Linked DNA regions of Macaca mulatta. The protein of the gene in region 1 interacts with the protein of each later gene in a pairwise test. Links are inferred from orthologs where the notes say so. Each region holds a gene or a part of one and is shown on either strand. Other genes may lie near its edges. The genes, in order: GRAMD2B, TMEM43 and CD207.

Evidence for each region.
Region 2: the proteins of GRAMD2B (region 1) and TMEM43 interact in binary tests that used the Homo sapiens proteins (3 or more experiments, as listed by UniProt). The two-hybrid records come from large-scale screens. The link is inferred for Macaca mulatta from reciprocal best matches to the Homo sapiens genes GRAMD2B and TMEM43.
Region 3: the proteins of GRAMD2B (region 1) and CD207 interact in binary tests that used the Homo sapiens proteins (3 or more experiments, as listed by UniProt). The two-hybrid records come from large-scale screens. The link is inferred for Macaca mulatta from reciprocal best matches to the Homo sapiens genes GRAMD2B and CD207.

What each region holds. Positions count from the first base shown.
Region 1 is NC_133411.1:135,417,849-135,428,201, forward strand, and holds part of GRAMD2B (GRAM domain-containing protein 2B), read left to right. Parts: intron 1-2,586; coding exon 2,587-2,682; intron 2,683-5,371; coding exon 5,372-5,443; intron 5,444-5,542; coding exon 5,543-5,623; intron 5,624-8,652; coding exon 8,653-8,764; intron 8,765-9,645; coding exon of another isoform or gene 9,646-9,648; coding exon 9,649-9,771; intron 9,772-10,353.
Region 2 is NC_133407.1:152,926,786-152,937,138, reverse strand, and holds the start of TMEM43 (transmembrane protein 43), read right to left. Parts: upstream 9,295-10,353; 5' UTR 9,124-9,294; coding exon 9,112-9,123; intron 4,962-9,111; coding exon 4,812-4,961; intron 3,448-4,811; coding exon 3,313-3,447; intron 2,731-3,312; exon of another isoform or gene 2,696-2,730; coding exon 2,601-2,695; exon of another isoform or gene 2,577-2,600; intron 1,742-2,576; coding exon 1,692-1,741; intron 1,425-1,691; coding exon of another isoform or gene 1,422-1,424; coding exon 1,352-1,421; intron 546-1,351; coding exon 475-545; intron 213-474; exon of another isoform or gene 76-212; intron 1-75. UniProt on the Homo sapiens protein: May have an important role in maintaining nuclear envelope structure by organizing protein complexes at the inner nuclear membrane. Required for retaining emerin at the inner nuclear membrane.
Region 3 is NC_133418.1:53,870,500-53,881,415, forward strand, and holds the start of CD207 (C-type lectin domain family 4 member K), read left to right. Parts: upstream 1-4,501; 5' UTR 4,502-4,554; coding exon 4,555-4,627; intron 4,628-4,724; coding exon 4,725-4,841; intron 4,842-6,318; coding exon 6,319-6,693; intron 6,694-7,286; coding exon 7,287-7,438; intron 7,439-8,497; coding exon 8,498-8,616; intron 8,617-9,123; coding exon 9,124-9,274; 3' UTR 9,275-10,916. UniProt on the Homo sapiens protein: Calcium-dependent lectin displaying mannose-binding specificity. Induces the formation of Birbeck granules (BGs); is a potent regulator of membrane superimposition and zippering.

The DNA.
Region 1 (10,353 bases):
TTATGAAAAATCTAAATTTATAGCCCTTTGCCACTGTGTGTTTGTATTGCTGCTCAGAAACAAAATTAGACTCATTTTTTTTAAATTATGATCTAAGTAGATCTCAAATTCTTTTTTTCCAAATTTATCCCAACTTGTAAGTTCTGAATTGCCTCCTGCCTTTGAAAAATATTGTGAGTGGAGTTCTTTGGCAAACAGTTTTTAGAAAATGTCTCAATTGGATTATCCCTTGTTCTTCCATAGTCTTCCTGCCTAGATCATTGAGGGCAATAAATAAGCCCATCTCATAAACCCAGATGTAAATGCAAATATTCAAAATTAAAAGCTCATTTTGTGGTCAGGCACGGTGGCTCACACCTGTGATCCCAGCACTTTGGGAGGCTGATGCGGGTGGATCGCCTGAGGTTGGGAGTTCAAGACCAGCCTGGCCAACATGGAGAAATCCCGTCTCTACTAAAAATACAAAATTAGCTGGGTGTGGCTGGGCGTGGTGGTTCACACCTGTAATCTCAGCACATTGGGAGGCTGAGGTGGGCAGATCACCTGAGGTCAGTAGTTTGAGACCAGCCTGACCAACATAGAGAAACCCCGTCTCTACTAAAAATACAAAATTAGCCAGGCATGGTGGCACATGCCTGTTATCCTAGCTACTCAGGAGGCTGAGGCAGGAGAATCCTTTGAACCTGGGAGGTTGAGGTTGCGGTGAGCCGCGATCGCACCACTGCGCTCCAGCCTGGGCAACAAGAACAAAACTCCCTCTCAAAAAAAAAAATTAGCCGGGCGTGGTGGCACATGCCTGTAATCCCAGCTTCTCAGGAGGCTGAGGCAGGAGAATCACTTGAACCTGGGAGAAGGAGGTTGCCGTGAGCTGAGATCGCACCACTGCACTCTAGCCTGGGCAACAAGAGCAAAACTCCATCTTAAAAAAAAAAAAAAAAAAAAAAGCTCATTGTGCTTGCTTCCTTCAAGCTGGCAGTACTTACATAAAGCCCATCTCTTCTCCACTTTTGAGAATATGTGAGGCATTTTCAAGAAGTAGATGTTCTGTTTTCAGGGATTAAAGTAATGGCGATCCATTTTCCTTTGAGATCAAATTTGGTTGGAGAGGTATAACATAAATTATCATGAACTTCTGTTCTTTGTGCCATTTGATACATTCTTATAGCACATTGTATTGAAAAGAACCCACATTTTGAATCAGACTGGCTTGAGTTCCATCTTTGTAACTTCTTATGTATGATATGCACCTCTCTAAATAAATTTCTTTATTTCTTAAAATATTGACTATGTAGGATCATCATAATTAAATTCTATCTGGTAAATAGGTATCAATAATCGTAGCTTCTATAGTTACTGTTGTTGTTATTCTTTGTTGAACCAGAAAAGTATTTAGTATTAAAAAATATTTTATTTCACCCATCCTGATTTCATAAACAAGTGAGGAGGTAAATGAAATTTTTATTCATCTCTGGGCATTTTGCATATATTATCTTACTTAATCCACAGAAAATCCTGAGAAGTAGATGAGACTATCTCCAATTTATAAATCAAGAAACTGAGGCCTAGAACAGATGGCTTACACGGGGGAGTAGGTCATGTAGATACAGGATGAGTATCCCCTATCCAAAATGCTTGGGACCAGAAGTGTTTTGGATTTCAGATTTTGCAATGTCTGCCAATATATAACTGGCTGAGCATTCCTAATCCAAAAATCCAAAATCTGAAATGCTCCAGTGAGCATTTCCTTTGACCATCAATATCAGCATTCAAAAACTTTTGGATTTTGGAATAGTTTAGATTTCTGATTTTCAGATTAAGGATGCTCAACCTGTAGTAACAGAACTAAGCCAAGTTGGGAGGCCGAGGTGGGCAGATCACAAGATCAGGAGTTCCAGACCATCCTGCCTAACACGGTGAAACCCCGTCTCTACAGAAAATATTTAAAAATTAGCCGGAGCATGGTGGTGGGCACCTATAGTCCCAGCTACTCGAGAGGCTGAGGCAGGAGAATGGCGTGAACCTGGGAGATGGAGCTTGCAGGTAGCTGAGATCGTGTCACTGAACTCCAGCCTGGGCGACAGAGCGAGACTCTGTCTCAAAAAAAAAAAAAAGAACTGAGCCAAGAATTCAGGTCCCAAGTTTTCTCTCCAGTGATGGTCCTATTATACCAGTGCTTTTTAACATTTTCCCCCCAACGTGCACCTAAAGACAGAGGAGAGTGGGGCATGTGGAAGTTAGCCCAAAGTGGATGACCAGAAGCTTGAAATTTCTTTAGAGCCTTGGGCTTATCTTTAAAATGAATATACATTTTGCATTCTATTTTCATGTCTGAAGATAAAGGTTTCCCACCAAGATCTTCAGTCCAATCGATGATTCAGATTTATCCTCCGGCTCAGTAAGCACCATTTTGAGGAGCTCAGTGACACATCCCTGCCACTCTGTAAGATTGACTTTTCTTCATGGAGGCTGGGGAGCTTGCTGCTGGTTTTGATTTCTGTTTACTTTTTTTTTTTCCCTTTAATGTGAAGATTCGAAGTGCTGTTCTGTCAAGTCTGAACTGGCATTAACTTGCTGATTCTGTTTCAGATCTCTATTCCAGCTTTCTCAGTAACCCTAATAAAGAAAACCAAAACTGCTCTTCTAGTGCCAAACGCCCTCATCATAGCGACGGTCACAGACAGGGTGAGTATGCAGCGGAGCGAGGGCACCTTCGCTCTGTCCTCCTGCTCTGGGCTCTGCTGCCTGAGGGCCCTCTTGCCAAGGACCAAGACTCCAAACCATAAATATCATCATCTCCTTTGGTGAATCAGGAAAATTCTATAAGACTAATTTTAAAAATTATAGCCTGTAGACATTCATGTAGTGCTGTTTCCCTTCACAAGGTGATTTATTCTCATAGAAGTGTTGCCAATTTTGAATTTCCTGCTGACTTAATTATACTTGCCTGACCAAGGTCAAAAAAATAAAATGCTGTCTCAACTTCAGCTAGGTCAGGCTAACATCTGCTAGATCAGGCTAAACTGGTATATTCAGTTCCTTTAATAGTCTTAAAGAAGAAAAAAACTTAAAAAAAAAAAAAAAAAAAAGGGAGGCCAGGCCTTTAATCCCAGCACTTTGGGAGGCTAAGGGCTGAGGTGAGAGAATTGCTTGAGCCCAGGAGTTGGGGACCAGCCTGGGCAACATGGTGAAACCCCATCTCTACAAAAAATATAAAAATTAGCCAGGTGTGGTGGTGTGTGCCTGTGATCCCAGCTACTTGGGAGGCTGAGGTAGGAGGATCACTTGAGCCCAAGAGGTAAAGGCTGCAGTGAGCCATGATTGTGCCACTGCCCTCCAGCCTGGGCAACAGAGCGAGACCCTGTCTCCAAGAAAAAGAACAAGAACAAGACCAGGCATAGTGGCTCACACCTGTAATCCCAGCACTTTGGGAGGCCCAAACAGGTGGATCGCTTGAGTCCAGGAGTTCAAGACCAGCCTGGGCAACATGGCGAAACCCTCTGTCTTCAAAAAAATACAAAAATTAGCTGGGTGTGGTGGCACACACCTGTGATCTCAGCTACTGGGGAGGCTGAGGTGGGAGGATTGTTTGAGACTAGGAGACAAAGGTTGCACTGAGCTGAGATCGAGCACCACTCACTCCAGCCTGGGTGACAGAGCGAGCCTGTCTCAAAACAGTAATAAATATATATAAAGAATAACAACAAAACACCACCTTACTGACAGGGTGAGGCAAGCAGGTTGATAGTGAGGAGTTCCTGGTGTGGGGGTGGCCAGCCTCCCCATAACCTCAGTCAATACCTCCCTAGAGCCATTCCAGATAAATAAAACTTGCACCTGCTCTGCAACTGCAGGTGCAGGATCAGTTTTTAGACCTGCTTTACTAACAGGTTGCCTGAACTACCTTCTACATAGAAATTCCAGAGCTGAATTGACTATTGTGCTACCCCAGACATGTGCGATCAGAAACATTTACATTAAAGTGGTGTTTATTTCAGCTTGGCAAGAAAGAGGGAGTGGAGTGGTTACTTTTCACGTGAAATTTTTTTAATCTGTTACCTATTATTTCTATGAAAGCATAAAATCTACATTCTATAGATTTCATTTCTCCTTTTTCCTTTCTTCTTTTTTCTTTTTTTTTAATAGAGATGGGGTCTTGCTATGTTGCCAAGGGCTGGTCTCAAATTCCTGGGCTCAAGTGATCCCCGGCCTCAGCCTCCCAGAGTGTTGGGATTACAGGCATGAACCAACGTGACTGGCTATAGATTTCCTTTCTAACCATACTAGAAAACTTGTAGAGAGAAGAAGAAAGAAGGAAAGATAAAAGAGACCATTCTGATAAGCTAGAAGATATGTTAATATCTATTTGGGGATCTTTTAAAAATACTAATAGCCAACACTCATCAGTATTTCCTCCTTGTCAGGCCATACACTAATGCTTTTCTTATATTTTCTTGCTACCACCCTGTAATGGATAACTGTTATTAAGAAAACTGAAAGTTAGAGGGGTTAAGCAGTTTTCCCAATGTCACCCACTTAGTAAGTGTCAGAGCCAGAATTTGCAACTGGATCTGCCTGATGCCAGAACCCACAATATTAATTACTTTGGAATATAGTACTTGCTTGGAAATAATTCAAGTTCCCTCATTGGTAAATGAGAAGGATAATCGCAAACTCATGGAAAGGAGGTCTGAAAACATTCTATGACATAAATAGATGGGAAAAAAAGTAGATTTTTATATTTTCTGAACATATTGTTTATGGTAAAATCATTTTTCCTCATGTCATTTGTCTTCACATGATTCGTCTAGCTTCTATTTTACTTCTTTCCCATGGCTCACTTATAAGTCTCCACTCGAAAATCTCCATATTTGTACAAGGAAGAATCTGGAAGTGGCATGAAAGAGAGCTAGCCTATTAGAGCCACTGGGAATTTTTCAGTGGAAATCTAGGTCAGAGCAGAGAAGGCGGACCCTCGGGAATTGTTAAATACCCTTAACAACAAAAACAGAGGGAGAGAGATTTTAAAGGGGATCTAGTGAATGTCACTAGCCTTTTTTTAATGTCCAGGCCTTTTCTTCTCTGGGCTTGTTTGTGGCACCAATGACAGGCTTTTGGAGCCTTCATTTTGCCCTACATGTATTGATTACTCTTAAATTGGGTTTGAAAATTTTGTTGTTTTTATGGGAGAATGTTTGCTTTATTCCAGAAATGGAATAAAAATGGAATATTTGGGTGAGAGGAGAATGTAGATCAAAGAGCGGTCCATGTTGTTTGAAAGTGAAAAAGCTGTATACAGATACTTTTCTGAACTCTCAACTCTCACTTCTCATCAGGTAATATCTATTCATAATTATCCTGTTTTGTTTTTCAGTACATGTTTGTCTCCTTACTCTCCAGAGATTCAACTTACAAACTACTAAAATCTGTGTGTGGACACTTAGAAGTGAGTATGATGTCCCTGAGCCTCAATTACTATCTCTCTTCTGTATTTCTTATGGTTTCATTGTTAATCTGGTTTTTCGCTTTGTTCCAATAATTTCAGAATACAAGTGTTGGTAACAGTCCCAATCCATCTTCTGCTGAAAACAGTTTCCGAGCAGACCGCCCGTCATCTCTGCCTCTGGTAAGTTGCCTACATAACTATCTAAATGCAAAAGAAAGGGAATATGTCCCACAGTTACACTTGTGCTTACACCATGACCAGGGTGTGGGAAGAGCTTAGGACCAAAATATTTGAGGTACAGTTGAAGAAACAGGGCATATCTGTCTTGAAGAAGAGGAAACCATAGTAGCCATAAACTTTTTCCAAGTAATTGAAGAGTTGTCCTGCAAAAAGAAGGAAACACCTAGTAGACTGTCTTGGTGAGTTACTGGTCAGTGAAGGCATTCATAAAGTCTTGCTCTGTTTGCCTGTCAATATTGGTTTAGAGGGATTCACACATCTATTTGAGGTAGGACTGAGTCATCCCACAAATCCTTAAATGTCTTCTGTGTTCAAGGCACCATGCTAGTGCACGCTGTAGGATACCAGGAAAAATTAAAACTAATTCATGCCTTCAGAGACTTCACAACTTAGAAGAGAAGACAAACATGCTCAGAATTAACTGTTAAAAAAAAAAAAAAAGGCCGGGCGCGGTGGCTCAAGCCTGTAATCCCAGCACTTTGGGAGGCCGAGACAGGCGGATCACGAGGTCAGGAGATCGAGACCATCCTGGCTAACACGGTGAAACCCCATCTCTACTAAAAAATACAAAAAAACTAGCCGGGCGAAGTGGCGGGCGCCTGTGGTCCCAGCTACTCGGGAGGCTGAGGCAGGAGAATGGCGTAAACCCGGGAGGCGGAGCTTGCAGTGAGCTGAGATCCGGCCACTGCACTCCAGCCTGGGCGACAGAGCCAGACTCAGTCTAAAAAAAAAAAAAAAAAAAAAAAAGAAAGAAAAGAAAAGAAAGCTATAAAGCCCAAGTGACAGGTAAAGATTGATTCATTCCCTTAGACTTTGTAAACTGTAGAGTAAATCTCCAGTGGGAAGTAGCTCCCTCTGTTTGTGTAAGATTTGTACCCATAATGGTTATAATGTTTTCCCAAGAGAGTTCCAGCCATATCATTCAAATGATTATAAATATTCAACATTAATGAAGCAATATGAGCCCATGGTTTCAACATCTCCCACAAATCTTTTTTTGAGAACAGTTTAAAAGTAATGGGACTGAAAGCGTATTCACACAAACACTTGTACAAGAATGTTAATAGCGTTATTCGTAATAGCCAAAAGGTGGGGAAAAGCCTAATGTCCATCAACTGATTAATAAATTTTTTAAATACCCATACAATGGGATATTATTCAACCATAAAAAGGAAATTAAGGGCTGGGCGTGGTGGCTCACGCCTGTAATCCCAGCACTTTGGGAGGCTGAGGTGGGCAGATCGTGAGGTCAGGAGTTCGAGACCAGCCTGGCCAACATAGTGAAACCCTGTCTCTACTAAAAAATACAAAAAATTAGCTGGGCCTAGTGGCGGGTGCCCATAATCCCAGCTACTCAGGAGACTGAGGCAGGAGAATTGCTTGAACCTGGAAGGCAGAGGTTGCAGTGGGCTGAGATCGCCCCATTGCACTCCAGCCTGGAGGATGGTGCAATGAGACTCCATCTAAAAAAAAAAGAGGGAAATGAAGTACTGATACCAGCAACAATATAGCAACATGGATGGACCTTGAAAGCAGCATGCTAAGTGAAAGAAGCCAGACTCAAAAAGGCCACATACTCTATGATTACCTTTATATGAAATATCTTGAACAGGCAAATCCATAGGGACAGAAAGTAAACTAGTGGTTGCCAGAGAATGGGGTGAGGGAGAAATTGAAAGTGACTGCTAATGGGTATGGGCTTTCTTTGGGGGGTGATGGAAATATTTCAGAACAAGATTGTAGCCATGGTTGTACAACATTGTGAATATTCTAAACACCACTAAATTGTATACTTTTAAATGGTGGATTTTATGTTACCTGAATTTTATCTCAATTTCTTAAAAATCTACCTTGAAAAACAGTAGTGGGAAGCAGCACAAAATATAATGTAACACATATGATTTGGAATCCAAGAAACCTGGTTTTAAATCTGGGCTCCACCCAGCTATGTTATATCATCAGGCAAGCTCTGTAACTGCTTTGACTCAGTTTCTTCATCCATTAAAATGCCAGCTTCATGATATGGCTGTGAAGATTAAATGCAATCATGTATGTAAGGAGCTTTGCATACTGCCTGATACAAGATAGGCATTCAAGAAATCATTAAATTGAAGAAATTTTCAATCTTCCTTCTCCTATAAATCCTTGTATGAAATCGAAATGAGTGTTGAGATGAACAAAAGACAGCTAGTTCAAGGTGAAAGGTTGGTAATTTGCTTACAAGATGAGTCTCTTCTTCATCTGGCAGCTGACTAAATTGTTAAAAGCTCAGCCTAATTGTACCTTTGCCAGGACATTTTAATGACACCATTTGTCTCTTCCGTTCTTAAGCACTTTGGGGAACCAATAGAATACAAAGTAGAACGCCTGTGCTTTTTCCCTTACTCCTCCATCATCTTTCTAAAATGTAAATGTACTAGCACTAACCCTGTTTTGATTTAGTTGAGGGAATAAAAAAAGCTTAAACTTTATTTTCAGGGCCTAATTTGCTAAAGCCATTTTTCCTTTTCTGTTTCCAATACTTTTTTAAAATAAAAAAAAAAAAAAACTATAATCTAGTAGTATCTTTCTCTCTGTCTACATATTTGAACTTGGATTTAAAGCTTTCTATTTTTGCTCTTATATATGTGTATAGTAATCAGGTTTTCTCATTTCAAAGTGCTAATGAAACCTCTTCAGCTTCACACTGGATGCTTCTCAATTATTGGCATTCTGGGTGTTTTTCCAGACATTTGTTGTTTTAAACAAGTTGGCCACTGTTTGTTGACAGAATTTTAACTGCCTGAAAAATCTGTTTCAGTAACCAGACACTCGGTGATCTGTTGGGAAAATCCCAATCATATGGGGTAATCCTTCCTTCTGTTCTGTGTTTTATAGGTCAGGCCTAGGTGAAAGGGCTGGGAGGTACAAAGGCCTGCCTGTTTACTAAGGGAAAATCAGCCTGTCTTCATTTCACTGTTTCCTTTCAGGATTTCAATGATGAATTCTCAGATCTGGATGGAGTGGTTCAACAAAGAAGGCAAGACATGGAAGGATACAGCAGTTCTGGTTCTCAAACTCCTGAATCTGAGAACTCTCGAGGTTTGGGAAATTGTTGTATTTTGACTAAAATTTAATTCCCCGCAAAACATCCTCACCCAACCCCCTTAAAAAAAAAAAAGAATGAAAGAAAGAAAAGAAAAGAAAGAAAAAAAAAGCCACATTGTCTTCCTAGCTAAAAATCAGGAATGGAATCTGGAGAAAGGATGCCTTGAGAGTTTGAGGGAAAAGAATTGCCTATGTGGTAAAAATTCGTTTCCTTTTATGCATATTTAACAGAGGTCTCTTAAATAGACCTAATATTGGGGTAGTTGAGAGAGAAAAACATAATATTTTCTTCCCTCTTTTTTTTGTTTTTGTTTGTTTGTTTGAGACGGAGTCTTTCTCTGTTGCCCAGGCCTAAGTGCAATGGCACGATCTTGGCTCCTGCAACCTCCACCTCCCGGGTTCAACCGATTCTTCTGTCTCAGCCTCCCGAGTAGCTGGGATTACAGACATGTGCCACCAAGCCCGGCTAATTTTTGTATGTTTATAGTAGAGATGGGGTTTCACCATGTTCATCAGGCTGGTCTCGAACTCCTGACCTCGTGGTCCACCCACCTTGGCCTCCCAAAGTGCTGGGATTACAAGTGTGAGCCACCGCGCCTGGCCTATTTTCTTCCCTCTTATTTCAATAATATTTTTAATTGTTATAGCCAAATTATCTATGTGAGTTAGTTGGAAAATGAAAGACTATCCTTATATCACTTTATTACTTATTTGCTTAAGCATTCAGTTTCAGCCCCCAGCCACCACAACTAACTTGTGAGATGATCCATTCATGTTCTTGACCATCATGCATGTTGAGGGATTGATTTACTTGGTGATTAATCCTGTTTTAAATACATTGGAGAGAAAACTTACCCAGCTCCGTTTTGGCTTAGTAGATTTCCATGTGACAGAATCCCAAACAGTTCTGAATGTCTCCAAGGGAGAAGCAAAGCCAACTCGGGCAGATGCCCATGTGAACAGAGTACCTGAAGGAAAAGCCAAGAGTCTCCCTGCACAGGGTAAGGAATGGAGGTCTTGTGAGGGGGTTTTTTAGAAGGGTTGGAGACGTCTGGTTGTAACTTTTTTTCTTTTTTAGACAGCGTCTTGCTCTGTCACCGAGGCTGCTGTAGTGCAATGACACAATCTCGGCTCACTGCAACCTCTGACTCTTGGGTTCAAGTGATTCTCATGCCTCAGCCTCCTGAGCCGGCTAATGCCCCGCTAATTTTTGTATTTTTAGTAGAGACAGGGTTTCACCATGTTGGTCAGGCTAGTCTCGAACTCCTGACCTTGTGATCCACCCTCCTTGGCCTCCCAAAATGCTGGGATTACAGGCGTGAGCCACCACACCTGGCCTATTTGTAACTTTTAAAGGGTCCCCATGTTTCACCTTATGACTGCTCTTCATGTTCCCTTTCCTCCCTTTGTATTATAGGTCTTTGCATATTAATTCACTTATTCATTTAGCAACCAGTACCCAGTTCCATGATTACAGTGGGGGATACGAAAGTGAATAGCCTTCATGGAGGTCACTTCATGATTCTGAATACATGAGATTATGTTTCAAAAATTTCTGTTACTGTAACCCCAGCACTTTGGGA
Region 2 (10,353 bases), on another chromosome or scaffold:
ACACTCTCCGGCCCACCTTATCCCTTGCAAGCTTCTCTTTGGAGTCAATGGGGGGTGCCTGTGATGAGCTAGTGACTTCCTGGCACAGGTGGGACTCAGAGGCGGAGGCCTAGACCGAGAGCACTGAGTCGCCCCATGTCTACTACTAGCCGGAGTCTGCTTGAGGAAGGAGTCTGCTTGAGGAAGGAAGGCAGACACCGGCACGCAGCAGGGTGAGGATGCATGCCTGAGTCATTCTCTGGAACAACCCAGGTTTCAGAGGAACCTGGTAGGATGGAGTGGGGAGGGGGTTTCTACATTAGCCCTTGCTCCCTGGGGATTCGCCTTCCCCTGGCCGCCCAAAGCATGGTGGTGGGAAAGGTATAGACTGATCCTGTGCCTTTAGCCATCTGAAGGCTGAGTGCTGGGAGCTCCGGCTGTGGGAGGGGCCTTGTGCTTCTGGCACAAGCTCCTCTGGAGAGGTCTGAGACTTACCTGGCGAGAGGAAAAATCTGCCAATTTGGACAAAGGGGGCTGTTGCCGTGAATGACTCCACTGCCATGGCACTGTGGGAGAGAGGAAGCTGTCAAGAGATGGGCACCAGTGTTGGAGCTGCCTGGGTCCCTTTGGGTTGTTTGTGCTGGGCAGGGTCCCCACCTGGGGGTTCCTGCAAGTCCAGATTAGCCCAGGCACAGCAGACATCTTTTCTTGTCCACCCCCAGGGCCCTTGTGCCCCCTCCCCCGGGCTGAGTGCCCTCACTCTGTCTCCTGTTCCCTGGAGCTTCCTACCCTCTTGCCTAGACCCCTGCCAGCCTGTCGTGCCCCACCCACCGCTGTCAGATATCTCTTGCATGGACTTTACACCCCTCACTAGCCCCTCCCAGAGCATTCCATCCCCTGACCATCTTACTGGCACAGCCCAGACCATTGCTGAACAAGGCCTGCTCTCTAGCCACACACAAGTGTTATGCCCACCTCACCACTGGCATGCCACGGAGCTAACCTCCCTCTGCTGAAATCCTGAGAAGCCTCAACAAATGCTGCTGCCTCTGGAAAGCCTGTCCTAATTGTCCTCCTACCCATGGCAAACCATTAACAAAATGCTTGCCTGGCTCCGTGTGTGCAAATCCCCTTAGATGCTTAGTGCAGGCCGTACATTTGTGACCTGTTTGTGGGGAGCTCGTTGGGGGTCAGGGGAGACGGGTCTCTGTGTTCCTGGTGCCCAGCACAGGGCTTGGTCTCAAAACCATGTCCCACATTTTCAACCCATGGAGCAGGATTAACTCAATCCTGTTATTCAGATAAAGAAACTGAGGCTGGAGACCTGTCAGTATAGACAAGGCTGCATTCAGGCCTGGGGCCTGGCTCTCACCTGGGGTTTTTGTGGCCAATCTCTCGGTCGAAGTTTTTGCTGTTGATGATTTCTGACCTCCATTCGGTGTCTGCTCGGGGAGAGGAAACAACTCAGAGCCTGGGTAGGAGTGGCACGTGGCTGATACCCACCAGCCCAGCTCCTCCCATCTCCCAGCCAAAGGGGTGGGTCAGGGAGCCTCACTGGATGGGTGGGAGAGCAGGACTCTGAAGACTGGCACCCAGGGATTCTGATGCCTGGTGCTGAATCCTTCTCATGGCCCAACTCACAGCCCTGCTGTCCAGCCACTGCTGTGGGCCCCCACCATGGGTAGAGACCACGTGAGGGGCCCAGTACTCACTGTAGGAGTACCTCGTCTCCTTCTTCACCTGCCCATCCTCAGTGTACTCCCTGCAGGGAAAGCAAGGCAGCCATGGGGGTTAGCCTCGTCGCCCTGGACGGTCTAACCTCTAAGCATCTGAGCCAGAAGCAACCTCAGGGCTACCAGATGCAGACTCCCCAGATGGGGGCAGATGCCTTCTCTACATCAGCCCCAAGATAGGGCACTCCCTCCTGACAGCCAGCCAGCTCCCGCCCTCGAAGGCGCTGCCTGGAGGAAAGCGCGCTCCCATCCTGAGCTGAAATCTACCCCCACTGGCCTTACACCACCAAGGGGCCCAGCTCTGCCCTTTGGGCTCAGAGATCTGGTTGCACCCTCTGCTCCGGGACAGCCCTGCGGGGGCTCCTGAAGCTGCCCTTCTCCTGCTCCTCCCGCCACCTCCCCACCCATCGGTCACAGTCCATGTGATTCAGGTGGGGCTCCAGGTGACCCCAGCCCTGGTCAATGAGAACCTGCCCCGGGACTCCTGTCAGAAATGATAAGTTGTAAGTGGAGAGAAGATGGGACCAACACAGCTGATGGGAAGGCGGAACACAGAGAGATGCAGTGGGGTCTCGGGGGTGACATGCTGATCCCATGACAGTGTTTCACGCCTGCTCCAAGTCATGCTTCAAGCTTGTGCATCTCTGGAACTTCCCAGATGTGGGAGTGACTCGATCCCCTTTTCCTCTTGGAGCCACTCTTCACTGGGTTGTTGCCACTTCCAAATCACTGGCTATTAATTTGGGGATAATTTCACACTTTTCTGATAGGAAGATGTTATCCTTGAATTTCAAAGGCATCAAAATGAAAGGTATCTGCATGTTATCCTGACACCTACACCTCACTCCTCCTTTACCCCAACAGAGTTTTCAGCCCCTGGCGCCTCACCTGGACTCCTCAGTTTCTACCCACTGGTACATCTCCACGTGCCTCCGCAGTTTCACAGCCGGAAGATGAACCCCATAGTTTGGATCAGACAAAAGCTTCAAACAGAATCAAAGAAACCAAAAAAATAAAAGATAAGATTCATGTCAGCCCAGAAAGCCTGGCTGAGGGGAAGCTGGACTGGAAGAGGAAGAAATAGAGAAGGGGACAAGGGTGGAGAGCCCTAGGCTGCTTTGCAGGGGAGGATCAAGGACACTGCCTATCCCAAGTTCTTCACACATAGCGCCCGTGACCCTCACAGTACAGGCCTGGGCTGCATGGCCCAATGGCATGGTGCCAACAGCGTACAGGGTGTTCAAATAACACGAAAGCTCTGGTGCCCAGGGTTGTTTTGTGGCTTTGCACTGGTCACACACGGTCATCACAATCATGAGAGCACCTCCTTGAGTGCCACCCTCTGTATCAAGATGTTAGTTATCTCATCTCACCAAATCCTCAAGGCTGGCCACAAGCTTGTTACTATTACCATCCCCATTTTATACATGAAGACACTGAGACTCAGGATAGACAAGTCCACACAGCTGCTGAGCGGTGGAGTCGGGAATCACACTCACGTGTGACCATCTCCAAGGCCCATGCTTTCAAATCCTCAGCCAGACAACATCCAGGATGAGCCCCGAGCCACTGGCAGGTCAGCATCCCCTGCCAAGCCTACCTTGGATGTCCGCAGGGCGCCAATGATATGCACCAGCCTTCCTTCATTCTCTGGCGCCACACTGTGGATGCTGTCAGGGGACACGACAAGCGAGAGCCCCTCGGCCAACGAGGTTGCCGTCTTCAACGCACGGCCCTGGGAGCAAAGGGGAGTGGGAATTTCAACAACTCAGGGGTGGCTCAACATGACTGTGCTTGTTGCAAAGTATCAGGGTAGGATGGGGCCTCAGGGAGCACTGAGACCCATCTCCCCACTGTACAGTTGGAAAACTGAGGTCTAGCAAGTGGAGAGTAAGGACTGGAACCCAGATTCCTGCTTTCCCAGGCAGACTTCTTCCCACTGCCCCACTGGTTCCCACTAGCCCCCACCAGTCTTAGCACTGCCCCAGTGGTGAGAACAGCTGGCGTTTCTGCTTGCCTGTCTCTTTCTCCCCATTTTTCTCTGCCTTCTTTTTCTTAATTTTATTTTTATGTTTAAATTTTTTGTAGATATGGGGTCTTGCTATGTTGCCCAGGTTGCTTTTGAACTTCTGGCCTCAAGCAATCCTCCCTCCTTGGCCTCCCGAAGTGCTGGGGTTATAGGCCTGAGCCACCATGCCTGGCTCTCCTCTCCCCTACTCAGTCCATGTGGTTTACCTAGGTAGATCTGAACCCCTGTTCAAATCATGTGACCCAGACCTTGCCAATCAGAACATGTGAGTGACCCCTGGCCACGGAGACTGATTCAGAGGACTGACAGCCAAGCCAGGACACTGAGAGATTGCCCTGTAACTGTTGCTAAATTGATTTAGAAATATGCTGTTGCATCATGAGGTCTTATTTTAAAAAAAGGAAAAAAAGAAAGAGAGAGGAGAGAGAGACAGAGAGAGAGGAGAGAGAGAGAGAGAAAAAAAAAGAGAAAAAGAAAGAAAGAAGAGAGAGAGGAAGGAAGGAAAGAAGGGAGGAAGGGAGGGAAGGGAAAGAAGGGATGGAAGGGAAGGAAGGGAAGGAAGATAAACAAATGGTTTTTCTCTTCCCTGGGCTAAGTGGGGGAGGAAGGGAGGGAAGGGAAAGAAGGGATGGAAGGGAAGGAAGGGAAGGAAGATAAACAAATGGTTTTTCTCTTCCCTGGGCTAAGTGGTTGGATGTAAGCCAGTTGCTGGGGCCACATTTACCATCACAGAGGAAGTGCCTGCCCAAGAAATACACCATAATAGAGAAAAACAGGCTAAAGATGAAGAAATGGAGACTCCTGGTGACCCAGCATGAACACCTGGATCCAACTACGCCTGAGGCAGGTGCTAAGCCCTGGATTTTCGGGTGTGTGAACTGATCTACTCCTTTTCCTGCTCACATCAGCTGTGGGATGCATCACAATGCAAAGAACTGTGATTAACTCAGTATCCTTCTTTCTCTTTTGTAAAATCTAGGCCCTTTATTACCAGCCTCTGGGTTCATAGCCTTTGCTCTCTGACATGGTAGGGACTCTCACTCTGCACAGGAAGACGCCAGACATTTTACCTCATTGGTGAAAATTAGGTAGAAGGAGAGCAGGAAGGTCATGAGCCCCACGACCATCCCACCCGAGGTCTCGCTCAGCCGCTCCAGGAAGCCTGGCTGGGAGCCGGTTGTAACTTTGACATGTTCTCTCCGGGTACTGGTACTGGAATACTGAAGAAAAAGAAACATAGTCACAGAAGGAAAATTAGTTTTTTAAAAATAAATGAAATTTGCTATTTATTTATACTCAGTTTTTTTTGTTTTGTTTTTAGTTTTAACTGTATGTGGTAAAAACACACAGATACTCAATGTGCAGTTTGGCTAGGTACAAAATATTTCCATCTCCCCAAAAAGTTTCTTTGTGCCCCTTTCCTGCCAACTCTCCCCCTCTCCACCAACCAGAGGTAACTGGTAGGGATGGGGAGAATCTGAATTTGAATTTCTCCCACTGTAGATTAGTTTTGTTTCTTCTAGAACTTGAGAAAAATGGAATCAGGGCACCAACTCCTTTCTGCCCAGCTTCTTGGACTCAGAGCACTGCTTTTGCAATTCGTCCACGTTGTGGTGTTTATCAGGAGTTTGTTCCTTTTCAGGGCTGAGTAGTATTCCATTTATGACTATACCACAATGTGCTGAATCATTCGTCAGTGGATGGGTATCTTGGCAGCTTCCAGGTTTTGGCTATTATGAATAACGCTGCTGTGAACATTCATACATGAACCTTTATGCAGACGTGTGCTTTCATCTCCTGTAGGAATATACCTAGGAGTACAACTGCTGGCTCACAGAGAAGATGTGTGTTTATGAAACTGCCAGGCTATTTTACAAAGAGGTTATTAGAGAGGTATTTTTAATTAAATTCAGCAAACAGTGGCTGAGCTTTCTGAGGGCAGTGCTAGCCCTTGTGGGGTCAGAAGTAGACAGTCTTAGGGCAGTGAGGTCACAACCATAAACAATACTAGAAGGTCATACAGAGTGTCTTGTGAGAGGGGTGGACTCAGTGCTCAAGGAGTGACCCCTTCCAGCTGGGGTATCAAGGCAGGCTCCCTGGAGGAGGGGGCATTTGAGTGGAATCTTAGAGACAGACCTTAGGGGAAGAGCATCCCTAAAGGGAGAACCATGTCAGCAGTGATGAAGAAGTAGGAAGTGGTCCTGGGGGAGCAGCTGCCTATCTGCTTTGGCTGGGTTGTGGGAGGGATGGAGGAAGAAAGGGCTTGGAGCTAGGCATTTCTGGGCAGGTTCACAGTGGGCCTCAAACTCAAGGGTGAGTGGATCAGGCTTTGGTCAATAACACAGGCATGATTTGGGGTGCATCCACTGCTGATCAAAAGCGTCATCGTCTAGGGCAGGATTCTGGAGCCAGAAGAACTGGGTTTGAATCTATGCTGTGCCACACACCAGCTACAGGGTCTTGGGCAAAAGCAATTTCACCACTTTGTGCTTTCCATTTCCTCTGTGCATAGGGTTGTGGTGAGAAGCAAAGAACATAGTTATTGGGGGGCTCAGGGCCGAGGCCTTGGTAAGCACTCTACACATGTTAGCTAGTGGGAATGTTACCAGATTTCTCTACAACTGATAGTGGGCTGGCACCAGGCTGGGAGTGAGCTGACAAAAGTCACAAAGATATAAAGTGGGGCCCAGCTAAGACAGTGCCCCATCCTGGCACTAGGGGCCAGAGGAGTGATTTGAGTCAGAGTCTCTGCTTGGACAAAGCTGATGTCACGTTCTGATTGTCTTTGAATATCACCAGCCAAGGCCTCCAGTGACCAGATGTCCATGAATCCAGAAGTCATCTTGACTTTCTATACCATTTGGAAACATTAAGGGAGGGAATCACCACAGGCAGGCAGGTGACCATCATAATGATGACAATGGCAAACACGCCGGTCTATCACAGGCCAGCCCACACGCAAGCCCAAAGAGCTGGATGCCATAACCACCCCATTTCACTGATAAGAAAATCGGGCTTGGGTTAAGTCATCTTCCCAGATCACACAGTTTCTAAGAGGAAGAGTTAGGATTCACATCTGGGCAGACTGGAGACTACTCTCCTATTACTCATTCCAGTCTGTGCTCCCCAGCTCTTGGGCTACAATGTGAGTTGAATGTTGGGTGCCGGCTGCAGGCAGCAACAGGAAAAGGAGGCGTGGCTTCCTCTTGGGCGTCCCCTCAGCCAGCATCAAGATAAGGGGCTCAAAGACAGCCTTGGAGGGAAGGAAGAGAGGTACAGGAGGGTGCCCCTCAGGCTAGGGGAGGGATGAGGTAGGCAGTGACATGACATACCCAGCCCACATTCTGAACCAAAATTCCCAGTAAACATGGAGGATCATAAAGGATCTATATATACACACATATTTATATATACATATATATTACATGTATACACACAAATGTAAACACACACACACACAGACATCCCCAGTGACACATCCCCTCCCAGTCCCAGCACTCAGGACTCAGAAGAAATGAGCAATGAGTGGTGGGAACAGAGGCTGACACATAAGCCCTGGAAATGAACAGAACTGGGTTCGATGCCCAGGTTCACCAATCACTTGCTGTGAAGCCTGGGTAAATTGCTCTACCTCTCTGATTCTGTTTACTCACTTATAAAGTAGAGAGGGGAATAGTACCTTCACCATCGGTACTGCTGCTGCTATACTGATTGAGAATTCTGTTGCCTCCCTACTCCATCCCACTATCTTCTTCCTCACCCAGCCTAGTGGCTGCTGTAAATGTATACCCAGCTACTGGATGAATCAACAAATGCTTGGCAGCAGAGGATACTCAAATGCATGTATGTTCCTTGGTGAGGGGCCAGGTCTCAATGTACCCAAGACGATCTCTATTCACTGGGACCATCTGTGCTCCCCTCTGCAATGACAGGCTAGTTTTCAAGTATTAGGTACCTACGACACACCAGGCACTGTGCTAAGCAGTCTCCCTTAAATGTCACAGTAACTGATCCATGAGGCTACATAAACCTGGAGAGATGAAAGCCACACATCTACTGGGTGGAAGAATCTGGATTGCCCCCAGGTCTCCCTAACTCCAAAGCCTGCCCTTTGCAGCATGCCAAGCTGGCCACAAGAGTTTGGGCAGGTGCCTTCCCCTGCTGGGGAAGTTCACCATCTGTAAAATATGGTGGTGGTGGTGATGGGAGCAGACAGAGTCCACATACTACAAACAGGCTGGTCTCCTGTCTGCCCTCTCTCCTGGCCGAGCCTGAGTCTCTCGGAATACCTCTGAGGCCTTTCTAGGTACACCATTCAAGGCTTCTAACCCTCCTGTGGGCCCAAAGTGTCCTGGGAGTGTAGATGATACTAACCCGAGACAGAGTGTACTAGGACTGTGGGTGATGCACACCCTGGCCTCTCAAGGGGTGTGGGAGGCAGAGAGGACGCTTGGGGACAGAGGCGGCGTCTGGAAATAGGGTGTGACAGGCAAGGGGAGAGCTGCTAGGACACTCTACCAAAGCAGGAGGGAGGGTGTGTCTGGGGCTGGCTGGGCTCCTAAGCAGGCCCTAGAAGCACTTTCACAGAGGAGGGGAGAAGTGAGTCACCAGCTTCTCCCACATCCAGCGCCCTGGTAGGAGGCGCTGCTTGGTGTGCTGAATGAATGTTGGGCTTAAATAGTTTCCCGAGAAAGGCTAGTTGCAGGGAGAAGAGGCCTTGAAGGAACAGCCCTCAGCCAGGCCTTCTCCAACCAAATCCTTGCTAGGAGGAGGAGGGGCCCCGACAGTAGAGAAATGCTCCCTCTCCCCCTAACTCCTTCGCTCCCAGCCCAGCCTAAGCTTTTTGCAGCATCACAGCCTCGGTTTACACAGCCTCCCTAGAGCGGGGAGCTCTCTGCCCGCCTGGACAGCCCTATCCGTCCATTGCTGGACAGCTCCACTTGGGCTGGGTCGCCTTCCTCCCTCCCAAGGGAATGGCCCCCTCTCTGAGCTCCCGTCCAGCTCTCATAATGCGCAACCTTGGGACGGCTTCAGGGCCCCAAGATACAGGAGGGAACTAGGAATGCAAGGAGGAGCCGCGGAGAGGCGTACAAGCAGATCGTAGTGCGGGAGCAACACCTCCGAGTCCGCCTCCGCACGAACGCCGAGGACTAGGCGGACCAAAGAACACGGACAAAAGAAGTCTGGACGGTTCGAGAGATTAACAGAGGGATGAGCTGGCGAAGGCACCGACACGGCGCGCAGAGGGAGATGCGGGCCCAGCCGCAGGGAGGAGCTCCAGACGGCGAAACGGACCCAGAGGGCCCCGGGGAAGAGCCCCAGGGCGACGGAGAAGCCTGGGTGTGGCCCGGCTGGCCAGGGGACACTCACATTCGCGGCCATGGTGGGACCCGGCTCGCTGCCGCCGCCTCGCGCTGTTCAGCTAGGAAGTGGGCTGACGACTGGAGCGCGGAGTCCAGCGGCCTCTTGCCAGCCCCAGCTTCGAAAATCCGCGTGGACTCCAAGACCAGGCGGGACTTACTGCAGTTACCGCCCCGTGTGCCCAGTGTTTCTGCGCATGCGCACGGCGAGACCTGGAAACGGGTCAGGGACATTACAGTACCTCATTGATGCGCCTGCGCACTGCAAAGCTTTCTGGGAAATGTAGTTTCTACTGCCTGGCGAGCTGCTGTGGGGCTCGCGACCTGCTGGGAAATGTAGTTTCCGGCTGAGGTGGGCCTGGCCGCGGTTAAGAGGGCGCCGAGGCAGGCGCGCGGCGGGCAGGCCTGGAGGGGGCGGGTCCGCGCGGGCTTCGGAGGCGCCCGCCCTGCCTGAGGAGAGGAGGTCACGGCGTAAAGCTGCAGCTACCGCCACTGCCGCTTCTGCAAGGTCTCAGGGACGGGCTGCAGCCATGTCCTATTGCCGGCAGGAAGGTAGGGAGGGCGGGCTGCCATGGAGACCGGCCTACGAGGGCCTGCGGGAGACACGCGGGCCCCGGCGCCCCGCTACCACGCCGCAGGCGCGGGCCACCCGAGGCGCGGCCCGGTTGCCCACCCTGGGACACTCGGAGGCGGGCAGGCTGGGGGGTCGCCACTCGTGTTTTGCGAATGAGAAAACCGAAGCTCTCGGGGGAACGGGACTGGTCCAAGGTCACAGTGAAGCCCGAACCCTGACCTCAGAGGGGCCTGTGCGTGGGAAGTCGTAAACTAGGCCGGGTTGGGGCACGGGAAATGCCGAGCACGTTGCGTGTGGCTCGTAACTGGGAATGTATGTTAATTATTACTACCGCTCCTGCCATACCCCACGTGTTGCCATTTTGCACGCGCCTTTAAAAGGCGGGTCCCGAAAAGTTGCTACTGGGGGTAGCGTGTGCTGTGCTGGGGTGCTAGGAGTTGTGCTAGGAGTTCTACTAACGGGAATGTTTTTGAGCCCCCTGCTACCTATCAGGCACTGTTCAAGGAAACTTACGTGGCTTGTCTCATTGATCTCGCTGCGCCCTTTGTAAGTCAGACTCTGTTACTGGTCACATTTTACTGAAGAGTAAAGTCTGACACAGGAGACTTGGCTAAAGCCACTCAGCCAGCAAATCGTGGAACCGGGGTTTGAGCCTGGGCATTGTGACCCCAGAACAGC
Region 3 (10,916 bases), on another chromosome or scaffold:
AAAAAAGAAATGCAGGAGAGGTGGGGAAGGATGCTAGGGAAAATAAGCAGGAATTGTCTTGTTAAATATGTATATAATATATCCATAGTTACGATTAGACATAGCTATGGCTATAGATATAGATGTGTATATGTATATACATGGGTGGTAAGGAAAACTGAACTATGGGTATAACATTTGTTGTCTCTATGGTGGGTTTCTTTTTTTCTTTTCTTTCTTTTTTTCCTTTTTTGAGACAGAGTCTCACTCACCCAGGCTGGAGTTCAGTGGCATGAACTCAGCTCACTGCAATATCTGCCTTCTGGGTTCAAGTGATTCTCCTGCCTCAGCCTCCCGAGTAGCTGGGACTATAGGCACACACCACCATGCCTAGCTAATTTTTGTATTTTTAGTAGAGACGGGTTTATGTTGGCTAGGCTGGTCTCAAACTCCTGACCGCAGGTGATCTGCCCACCTTGGCCTCCCAAAGTGCTGGGATTACAGATGTGAGCCACTGCGCCCAGCCTATGGTGGGTTTTTTTTCCTACTTGGATTTTTTCTATAATTAATATCATTAGTTATATAATAAATAAAAGATTTTAAAAGAAACTGCACATTTTTTTTCCTAAAAGCCTTTCATTACTTTCCTAACATAGATTTGCCCCTCTCACTAAAGCTATAGGCATGAGTTCTTTGACCTACAATGTAATTTGGAGCAGCCTTCTCTGCCGGGTACACAGCAGCTCTTCCATGTGGCTAGGTTGCCAGCCCATTTACATATCACACTATTTATGATGGCACTGGGTGAAATACCCTGATCGGTAGGGTCTGGCTCATTGTCACTGTTCCAAAGAGACTTATCCTTATACAATGTCATAAAAAAGGAACCCATTATCAGGGTCCAGGGAGACATGGGGAGGTCCCTATAGTGTTGTCAGTCATTTTTAGTCTTGGGAGACTTCCCTTCTCCCCAGCATTAAGGATGTCATATTTTTTCAACAACAGGAAAACCATTCCTGAGGGCGGGGTCTGTAGTTGTCTTTTTCCTTGCTGTGTCTTGGTACCTAGGGCACAGCAGGACTCTAGAGGAGTAAGTGATGCCACCTATGCTCCTTGGTTTCTCTGCCCTATCCCCTGTGCCCAGGGCACATGTCCAGAGGGTGGCATGGAATCCCTTGATTTTTTGTGGGCCAAATCCCCCCATTGCATCACAGGAGTCCCTCTGAGGCCTGCAAGCCAGGTGTGACCAGCTGTAATCCCCTCTCATTTCAGAGTCATTCTCCCTCCTCCCTCGCTTCTCCTTCCCTGTCCCCACTCCGCAGTTCGGTGTTCACTCTAGTTTCCTCCATGACTTGACTGAGGGACTCGGGTGACTCCTCCCGGGAGATGACTCTCGGCACTGCTGGAGCATTTCAAACAACCCAGGTCTCTGTTCCAGTCTTGCTGATTAAGTCCATGGTCCTCCTCCAAGCATAAGGCTGGTCCCAACCATAGTCCCAACAAGAGAAAGGGAAAAAGTGGCCAAGCTGTTTTCTTCCTCTGTCCTTGTCCAGAGAAAGTATTAGAACCCCAGGAGCACAGGAAGAGGAGAAATGAAAGAAATGAGCACAGACTTCCCATTCTCACCACAGAAGTGATTTTTTTGGTCACTAGGTCTGATCAGAGCTCCTCTTCTGTTTGGAAGAGGAGGGTTCAGAAGCCTGAGTGCCCAGGAGAGCCGCCCGCCTTCCTGACTGGCAAGTGTGGCCAAGGCACCTGCCTGCTTCTCTGTCTTTTCTCCTGTCAGGCCAGGTGCCAGATAGAGCATCCAGAGATTTGCACAGGAGAGATACTCAGGAAATACCTGCAGATGAGCATGCTTATAGGAAGACGGCTCGTGACTCCCTCCCTCTCCACAAAGTGGGAAATGAAACTTCTTATGGTTTGGGACTTTTACATCCATGTCCTCTGAAACCCCAGAGGGCCCACAACCCAGGATTCCATGCCTTTGCTCAGCTTCCTCATGCTGGATCATCCTTTCGCCTCTCAGTATTCTACCTACCTGAGCCTCCATTTCCATCACTTGGACTAAATGCTCCCTGCCCCAGCCCCTTCCTATGCCATCGGCGCAGCCTCTTCCTATGCCATGGGCCCAGCCTGCTGAGGCTTCCTTATCCTTTCCTGGGACCACTGAGAGGGCGTCTGGGGGCTCTATAAAGAATAACTCATGCCACAAACCAGCAGAGAAAACCCAACTTTTTGACCTAGGGGAAAGGGACAAGACACTCCCAAGGCATGTTGTGTGGCAGCTTCTTTCCTTCAAATGCTGCAGGAGGAGACCAGGACCCCTGCAAGGCCTCTTCTACCAGGGTCTTAAGTAATTTGGATTCTTCTCTATCCCCAGGCCCAGAAATAGGACAGGCTGTGGATGAAGGGCCAGGAGTCAGGAGCAGAAGGGCAGAGATGGCTCTGGAGTTGGGCTGGGTCCTGAGCATGAGAGTCCAGAAGTGGAACATTCTAATCCTGTCTAAGCCCTGACAGAACCAACGCTCTGCAACCACACGAGCCACCTGAAGAGAGTGGGAATCTTCATGGGCGTTCAGAGGCAGGCAGTGAGGTGGAGCCAGACCCTGAGGTTTGGGACTATCGAACATCAAAATTTAGAGCAGACAGCAGGTAGGGAAGCAATGAGACAGAACAAATGAGACACCATCTTTGTTACCCGGCTTCCTTCCCAGAGCTTCCCAGTGTGGGGTCCCCTCTGGGTTCCCTCATCCAGTCTGAGAAGTGACTCCAGCCTGAGGCCTGGTTAACTGGAGAGAGAGAGCATCGAGGGCCTGTAACTACAATGAGCTGCACATGGGCACGGGCTGAGCGTGCAGCCACCATCCTCCCAAGTACCAAAGGCAGCAGGAGCCCCTGAAAGCATAGGTAGATATTTCCTTGGCCCTGCTAGCTTAACCTCTAACCCTGGTCCCTGATACAGCCTGTCATCCAGCTCTACTGGCTCAGCCTCAGCAGGCCCAGGACAGCTTTCTTGTCCTGCGGCCAGAGCTTTTGTTCATTCCTGAGTAAGGAATAAATCACACTTCCCCTTATGCTTTTGCTTTGAAGATGAATGAGAACTTCTGGAGATAGCGGAAAGAAGCAGTAGCTTCTAGAAGGCAGATCCCAGGCCACAGACTGTGTAAACATCAGAGTGGCATGATTAGCTATCAAGTCTCCCAGTCACTTACCATTCACCCATCCGTCCATGCATCCTCCATCCATTCATTCATCCATTCACCCATCCTCCAATTATCTGGACCAACCTCCTTCTTTTTTCTTTCCTTCCCTCCCTCTTTCCTCTCCTGTTTCCTACATTCCAAGAAATATTTTTATAGAGTCTGCCATGTGCCAAATTTCTCAGATTTGGCAGACTTCTTCAAAGCATGAGAAGTCACCCAGGAGAAAATGTAGTCCTTCACTGAGCTCCAAATAGGCTCCTCTGTGCCCTGAGCTTCTTGCACATATGGAACTCTCTATTCAGGGTTACAAGCAAGGAGAGAGGAAGTTGTGGACAGAGAGAGAGGAGAGAGAAACAGAAAGATTCCTAGTCTGACGTTGCTGAGCACCCCTACTTTGTTTGAAAAGCTCACATGCTACAGGAAGCAGGGAGGAGAACTCAAGTCTTAGGTTTACATTTTGAATCTCCAAGTTGCATATTATAAAGGAATATTGTATCAGCCAAGATGCGCTAATAACGGGAAGCAGAATATTCTATTGCAATGGTTGCTTCCTGGCTTCCCCCAACCAGTCTGTGCTCCTCACCACGATCAGAGTGATGTTTTTACAGTGTCCCTGTCCTTGTCTCTCTCCTGCCTGAAGTCCTTAATTGGCCTCATGTCACCCACGAGCTAGAGGTGAAGCTCCTTGACATGATCAGAAGGATCTTCATAATCAGACCCCAGGTGCCTCTTCCACCCTATGTGAGTCCCCTTCCTCACATTTTTGTGTATATTTTATGTTCCAGCAATATTGCCACTATTTTCAGTTTGCCAAGCACTCCATGCTATCTTAAGCTCCATCCTTTGGCATATGCTTATCTTTCTACTGCAGTTTTTTTCCCATTATTCCATTTCACACGCTTCTTTCAACTGGGCACATCTGTCTCTTGTGCAATTTATTTGCTCATGTCTGTCTTTCCCACCAGACTGTGAGCTGCTTGGTGCAAGGACTGTGAGTTATTCATCGCTGTGGCCCTATGCCTGGTACAGCATCAGTACCTAGAAGGCACTCAGTCCGTATTTGTGGGGTGAATGGATGGGTGGATGGGTGAAGAGAATCTTACAAGAGAAATGGGATAGCTTTGGGGCAAGATGGTTAATGTATCTATGTAACAGACTCCCAGAGAAGACAACAGATGGCCTCTTTCTGAAAGCTCAGACTTCTGAGGAGGGGAGTAAGCCAGACAAGGTATCTAGTCAGGAATAGGGAAGTTGGGATGATATGGTGACCTAGTGTGGGACTGACTTCCTGTTTCCTCTAGATAAGAGCCCTTGGAGAGACAGGCAGCCAGAAGCACTTGTGCTTCCAGGGTAAGGGTGAGCACTCAGGATGACGGCCGAGAGGGAGGTCCCTGATGCACACTTCACTGTGGACAAACAGAACATCTCCCTCTGGCCCCGAGGCAAGCCACAGTCACTGCTGAGAACCTGCTCCGTGTTCTGTGTGCAAACCTGCCCTTTGCTACTCCTTCAACACACATTTTCTTCTTTTTCCAACAGAGCCTCCTCCCAAGTCTGGTCCATCTCTGTTCCCGGGGAAAACACCCACAGTCCGTGCTGCATTAATCTGCCTGACGCTGGTCCTGGTCGCCTCCATCCTGCTGCAGGCTGTCCTTTGTAAGTCCTCATGTTTCATCGTCTGGGCTTAGCCCCTCTCTGTGGCCAGCTGGCTCCCTCCAGATCCAGACCACTTCCCTGCTCTCCAGGTTTCTCCTGCCTCTGACTTTCATTTGTCTCCTTTCTCCTCTTTCCATGTGCAGTAACAGGGTGTGCCGCCCCCAGTACGGTGAGCTGATGCTCTTTCCCTCCCAATTTCTGGGAGATTATTGGGATCAGCATTTGCACATTGGTGCTCAAGGATACATTCTTTTGTCCTCAGGAAACATTTATCTAGTTTTTCATGCTGTGCTATTTTCTCTCCCTCCATCCCCCACCAATCTGAGCTCTGCTCCTTGGATTTGGAGCCTTGTGGACAGTCCCTGACAGTGCAATGTCTCCTGACCCTGTGAAGGACTAAGCCTCATGTGTCATTGGCCCCAACTCACCAGATGGAGAGCCTGACCAACGAGCCAACAGATCTCCATGACTCAGTCCCCTCAACAGGACCCGTTCGTGCTCTCTTCATTCTCCTGTCCCTGCAAAAATCATGTCTAGGGAGCCTTCCTACTCATTTGGTGTTGCGGGGTTTATCTTTCTTCCTCTTCTGGCTCTGTCAGGCTTCATGCCCTTTGCTGCTGGCAGAGCCTTCTTCCTCCTGCCAGGGCTCCAGCAAGCGGAGCAAGGGGACCCGAGAAGCTGTTGGGTTTGGTTTTCTCCCTCTGTGGCCTCGGGACATACTTGGTCTTAGACTTGTAGGCTCTGAGCAGAGTCCCCCTTCCCCCATCCTAGACCCCTGGCCTCTAGCATGGCATTTTCCTCAGGGCTCACCTTTGAGCCTCTTGGTTTATCTTTGATCCTCTCTCTGGTACCCAGGCCTGGGACCTGAGCAGAATGTGAAAGTGGGTAGGGCAAGGGAAGGGGAGAAACAGTTTTGTAATCTCCTTTTCCATGTTCTCTGGAGAAGAAGCCACTTCCAGATTAGTGGCTGGCTCTTCCCATGGTCACAGAGGGGCCCATGGACAGATGTGAGGGAGTGGTGCTGTCCTAGCAGACAGCCACTGCAGGGGTTTCTGAAAGCAGAGGGATGGCAACCAAGGGGTGGGGTCCAGGGGGAATCAAGTTCTGGGGAGAGTGATGGGGCTCATGGAGGGCACCCCTTTATCAAATGTTCCATGAACACTCAGAGAAATTTCAGGACTGGTTTCTAACCCCTGCTTCTGCTTGCCTGTGAAATTTTCTCACAGAGAGCCTGTGTTTCATCCATCTCCCCATTGTCTGTATCCACCTGTGTTCCTAGCACATGGTAGGTGCCCATTGCACATTTGTTGTATCTTAATGAATGATTGGAGGGTTGGGGTGGCCCATTGGACTGTCCTGGTTCTTTGGGAAGCTTCAGCCTGTTCCTTCTCTTCCCTTCCTTTGATCGACCTGACAACAGCCCCACTCCTGTCCCTGGGGCTCCCCTCAGCTGACCTCCTGACTTTCTCAATCCCAGATCCCCGGTTTATGGGCAACATATCAGATGTAAAGACCAATGTCCAGTTGCTGAAAGGTCGTGTGGACAACATCAGCACCTTGGATTCTGAAATTAAAAAGAATAGCGATGGCATGGAGGCAGCTGGCGTTCAGATCCAGACGGTGAATGTGAGCCTGGGTTATGTGCGTTCTCAGTTCCTGAAGTTAAAAACCAGTGTGGAGAAGGCCAACGCACAGATCCAGATCTTAACAAGAAGTTGGGAAGAAGTCGGTACCTTAAATGCCCAAATCCCAGAGTTAAAAAGTGATTTGGAGAAAGCCAGTGCTTTGAATACAAAGATCCGGGCACTCCAGGGCAGCTTGGACAATATGAGCAAGTTGCTCAAACGACAAAGTAAGTGACTCAGAAAATTACATTGAAGCTGACCAGCGGCCCATGGGATCTTACCTGTCCCAGACCTGAGGTCACTGGGCTGGTGGGTTAGGGAGGAGGCCGGGGGGAAGAGAGGGGCAGCCATGGACTAGGAAGTTAAGGAGGGAGGGCTTGAGGTTGGGAAGGACTTAGGCGCAGTTAGGAGAAAAGAGACCACGGTCCAGCTAGAGTTCCCACACCAAAGTGCAGAATGTAAAAGCATTAGGGGCTGTCCACCCTGGCCCATACCTAGTCATTTCTCATCAAGTTCCTTTCTAGAGTCCAGGGGCTCAGCCACTTGTCATGGCCGATGGAGGGTTGCTTCCCCTCATGGGAAAGACACTCTTTGTCCATCCTCTTGCATTCTAACCTCTCCAGTCCCAGACACTCTATTAGTCTCTGTCTGACTTTCAGGATTTGAAAGAGTGTCCCAAATCCCCTACACAAGGAGCCAAGGACACCAGAGCACAGCTCCATTTGCTGCTGTCTCTGAGACCTCATTCAAGTGCCCCCACCAAGCCAGCACCCCAAGAAATCAAGAATACCAGTATTCACTTTTACCTCTTGTTCTCTAGATGACATTCTACAGGTGGTTTCTCAAGGCTGGAAGTACTTCAAGGGGAACTTCTATTACTTTTCTCTCGTCACAAAGACCTGGTATAGTGCCCAGCAGTTCTGTGTGTCCAGGAATTCACACCTGACCTCGGTGACCTCAGAGAGTGAGCAGGTGAGTGTTGTGCCTGTGGGCTCTGGGAAGGGGGCATATGAGCACTGGGCCCGGGAGGATGGGCAAGATTATACTGTGCGAACAAAAATCCCCAAATATTGATGACCTAATGAAGAAGGAGTTCTCAGTACTATGTCCAATAAGGGCCAGCAAGGGGGCTGTGCTCACTATGGCTACTCAAGGACCCAGGCCGAAGGAGTCTTTATCTGAACATGTTTCCACAATTGCTGGGGCAGGAAAAGGGAACTTGACATATTGTGCAAAGCTTCTGCCCAGATTTAACATACCTCATTTTTGCTTACATTTCACTGGCGTAAGTTACATTAAGTAAGTTAAGTAAGTGATGCAGTACTCCTGGACTGGGAGGATCCTGGATTCCAGTACTCCTGGAACAGGGCAGAGAGGAGCTACTTTCCATGTGCCCAGAAAAAAAGAAATATTTGTGAACAGCATTAATGATTCCACGTGACTCAAGAAGTCTCCTGCCTGGTGAGGCAGAAATTGGGCAGGCCCTTTTCATCTGGGCGGTGGGATAGCAGCTCAGGTCAGAGCCTGGGCTCTGGAGTAGTTCTAGAGCCCTAACCTTGCCAACTAACTAGTCCTAGCAGCTTGGGTGGAATACCCAACTTCACTGGGCAAACTTCACTGGCCCTCACGTGCTGAAACATGCATGGTGATGGCACCTGCCTCAGAGGAAAGGAGTGAATGCATATGGAGGACTCAGCACAGTGCCGCATGTGGATTCAGGTGTTGTCATATGAACCATTCTCTTGCGGTCCATGCTCTGGAGTTCAGCTGAGGCCTTCCTGTGCTTCAGCACCTGCTTCCTGAGTGGCAGAAATGCTTAAGTCCTGAGCCTGTTAGCTGCAGGGCAGGGACACATCATAATCTGGAAGATGAAATCTGGGCTCTGGGCAAGGGCAGGAAGAGGCTTGAGAGGCCAGTGTGCAGTGCATCTGTGGGTCAGGGCTGTCAGTGAGCACAGGTGAAGAACACCCAGAGACAGGTGATCAAGCTCGGAGTGTGACCGCACCTCTGCTTAACCTGTCTTTCCTATAGGAGTTTCTGTATAAAACAGCGGGGGGACTCACCTACTGGATTGGCCTGACTAAAGCAGGGATGCAAGGGGACTGGTTCTGGGTGGATGACACGCCATTCGACAAGGTCCAAAGTGCGAAGTAAGTCCCTGGAGCCCTCCCTGCCAGCCTGACTTTCCCCGGCCATGGCCAGGGCATGAAGGGAGTTGGGGCGATATTCCCCATGAGACAGGGTTTCTGATTCTTCCCTGTGCTAGGGTGACAGGAGCATTGCAACCAAGATCTAGCGCAATCCTGTCACTAACTGGCTGTGGGATCTGGGCCCTCCACGCCCTCTGGGGTGTGGCAGCAAGGCCTTCTACCTGGCCGGCTTCAGCAGGGATCCTGTCATGAGTCTAGGTCTTCACAGTGTGGGTTTGTGTAGGGACTTGAGAGTGGTGGGTTGGTTTTGCCTGGACTTGGGGCGTGAGTGAAAGCTTAGAGGTCTAAGTCCCGCTAGTCCCCTTCCTCTTAGGCTTGGGTGCAGACATTTACTATGCCATTCCCTAGGACTCAAGCTGGGGTTGAGTTAACTCATTTCTTCACTGGAAATAAGTTCTTCTTGGTTTTCCACTTTGTAAATCCATCCTTATTTCTCCCTCTTGGTAGGTTCTGGATCCCAGGTGAGCCCAACAATGCTGGGAACAATGAACACTGTGGCAATATAAGGGTTTCCTCGCTTCAGGCCTGGAATGATGCCCAATGTGACAAAACGTTTCTTTTCATCTGTAAGCGACCCTACATCCCGTCAGAACCGTGACAGAACAGGCTCCCAAGCTCACTCTTTGAACTCCAACGCTTGTCAAACATGAGGAAATGCCTCTTTCTCCCCCAGACTCCAGGAGGACTTTGCACGTTAATTTTTCTTGCTTCAAAATTGTCCCACAGTGGCATTCTGGAGTCCATCTGTCTTGGCTGGAAATTCTCTGACCCCATGGAGGCAGCTGGAATGGAAAGGAGAACTCAGGTTAAAGTGGGAGGGGTGGGTAGAGAGGATTTAGAAGTTCCAATTGCCCTGCTAAGGAGGATTAAGACCCGTAATCCGGGACAACACCTGGGGTTTTCCACTTCTTCAGAGAAGCCTCAGCTTCATCACATCAAAGTTATTTCAGAGCAACCAAGCAATTCTGCTGATATTGTCATTCAGGGCTTTTCTTGGCCAAACCCTCTAGAATTTCCACGTGTCTGCTTAGCTGTGCTGGCAGCTGGCAGCTGGCTGTGTTTGCAGTGGGAATAGCTCTGTTCTTGGAGATCCTGCTCATGGTATATCCTCAGTGGCTTCTTCATCCACATCATCTAAAGCCTGAACCTCTTCTCTGGTTCAAGTCAGCGGCTGACATGGACTTGTATCTCCTTCAGAACTCGGCCAGTACCCAGACTCCCTTCTCCTTCCACTCACTTAGTACACCCGGGTGCCCAGCCCTGCCTTCCGCCCCAGTGTCCATCCAGCCTCTGTCCTCACCTCCCCGGCACCTCCTCCTCCTTCTGCATTTCCTGTCTTCCCGTGTCTTGTGCGTGGGAAGCAGCCTTCAGTGCCTTCATGAATTCGCCTTCCAGCTTCCTCAGAATAAAATGCTGCCTGGGTCAAGGCCTCACTCCACGTGCACTTTTTCATTCCTGGTTGTCCAGGTGAATATGTGGGAAAGGCGGTCTCCTCTGCTGGACATGAAGTTCTAGAGTATCATCAGGAAACATCTGGGGAGTCAAAAATAACAAGGACTAGGGAAGTTCCAGCCCTGGAAATGCCATAAAATGTGACTAGTACTTATTTCTAGTTTTTATTAAAATAAAGTAGAGCAAGGTCTCCAAGGTCTCCAATGTCACGATCTTGGTGGTCTTTCTTCTTGGGTGTTTACTGGACAATCTTCTAGTCTCTAGCTCAATTCCCAAGAACGAGTTTCAACAGGTTTTCCGCTCTTCACAGAGACCCAGTTCCACAGGCATCAATTCCAAATCTCAAGTCCAGTGGCCAAAGCAGGAATCCAGGCAGCAGCCACCACAGAGAGGAGGGGAGAGTGGAGTGAGCACAGGTCCTCATTAGGGTCCACAGGAAAAGATGCTTCATTAAATGACTGTGACCAGCAGTGTGTTGTTCTGGGTGCAAATGGGTCAGAGCTGAGGGTACAGGCTTGTATTGTAAGACCTGAAATAGCATGTGCTGCTGTGACATTTTATGCCTCACAGGGCCCCAAAGACCTAACCCTAAGTTCCCTGCCTCTCACCAGATATGCCCTTGCCCTCGGTCCTCACCTGGCTAGTTTCCTATCGTCTGGGACCAGCTGCACTCCACCCAGCTTTCTACTTAATGGATTTCACTTATCTGCCAGCCTGATAAACTATTCAAAAAAGCCAATCACATCCTCCTAAGGAACCCAGGGCACCTCATCATTTTGTTACTACAA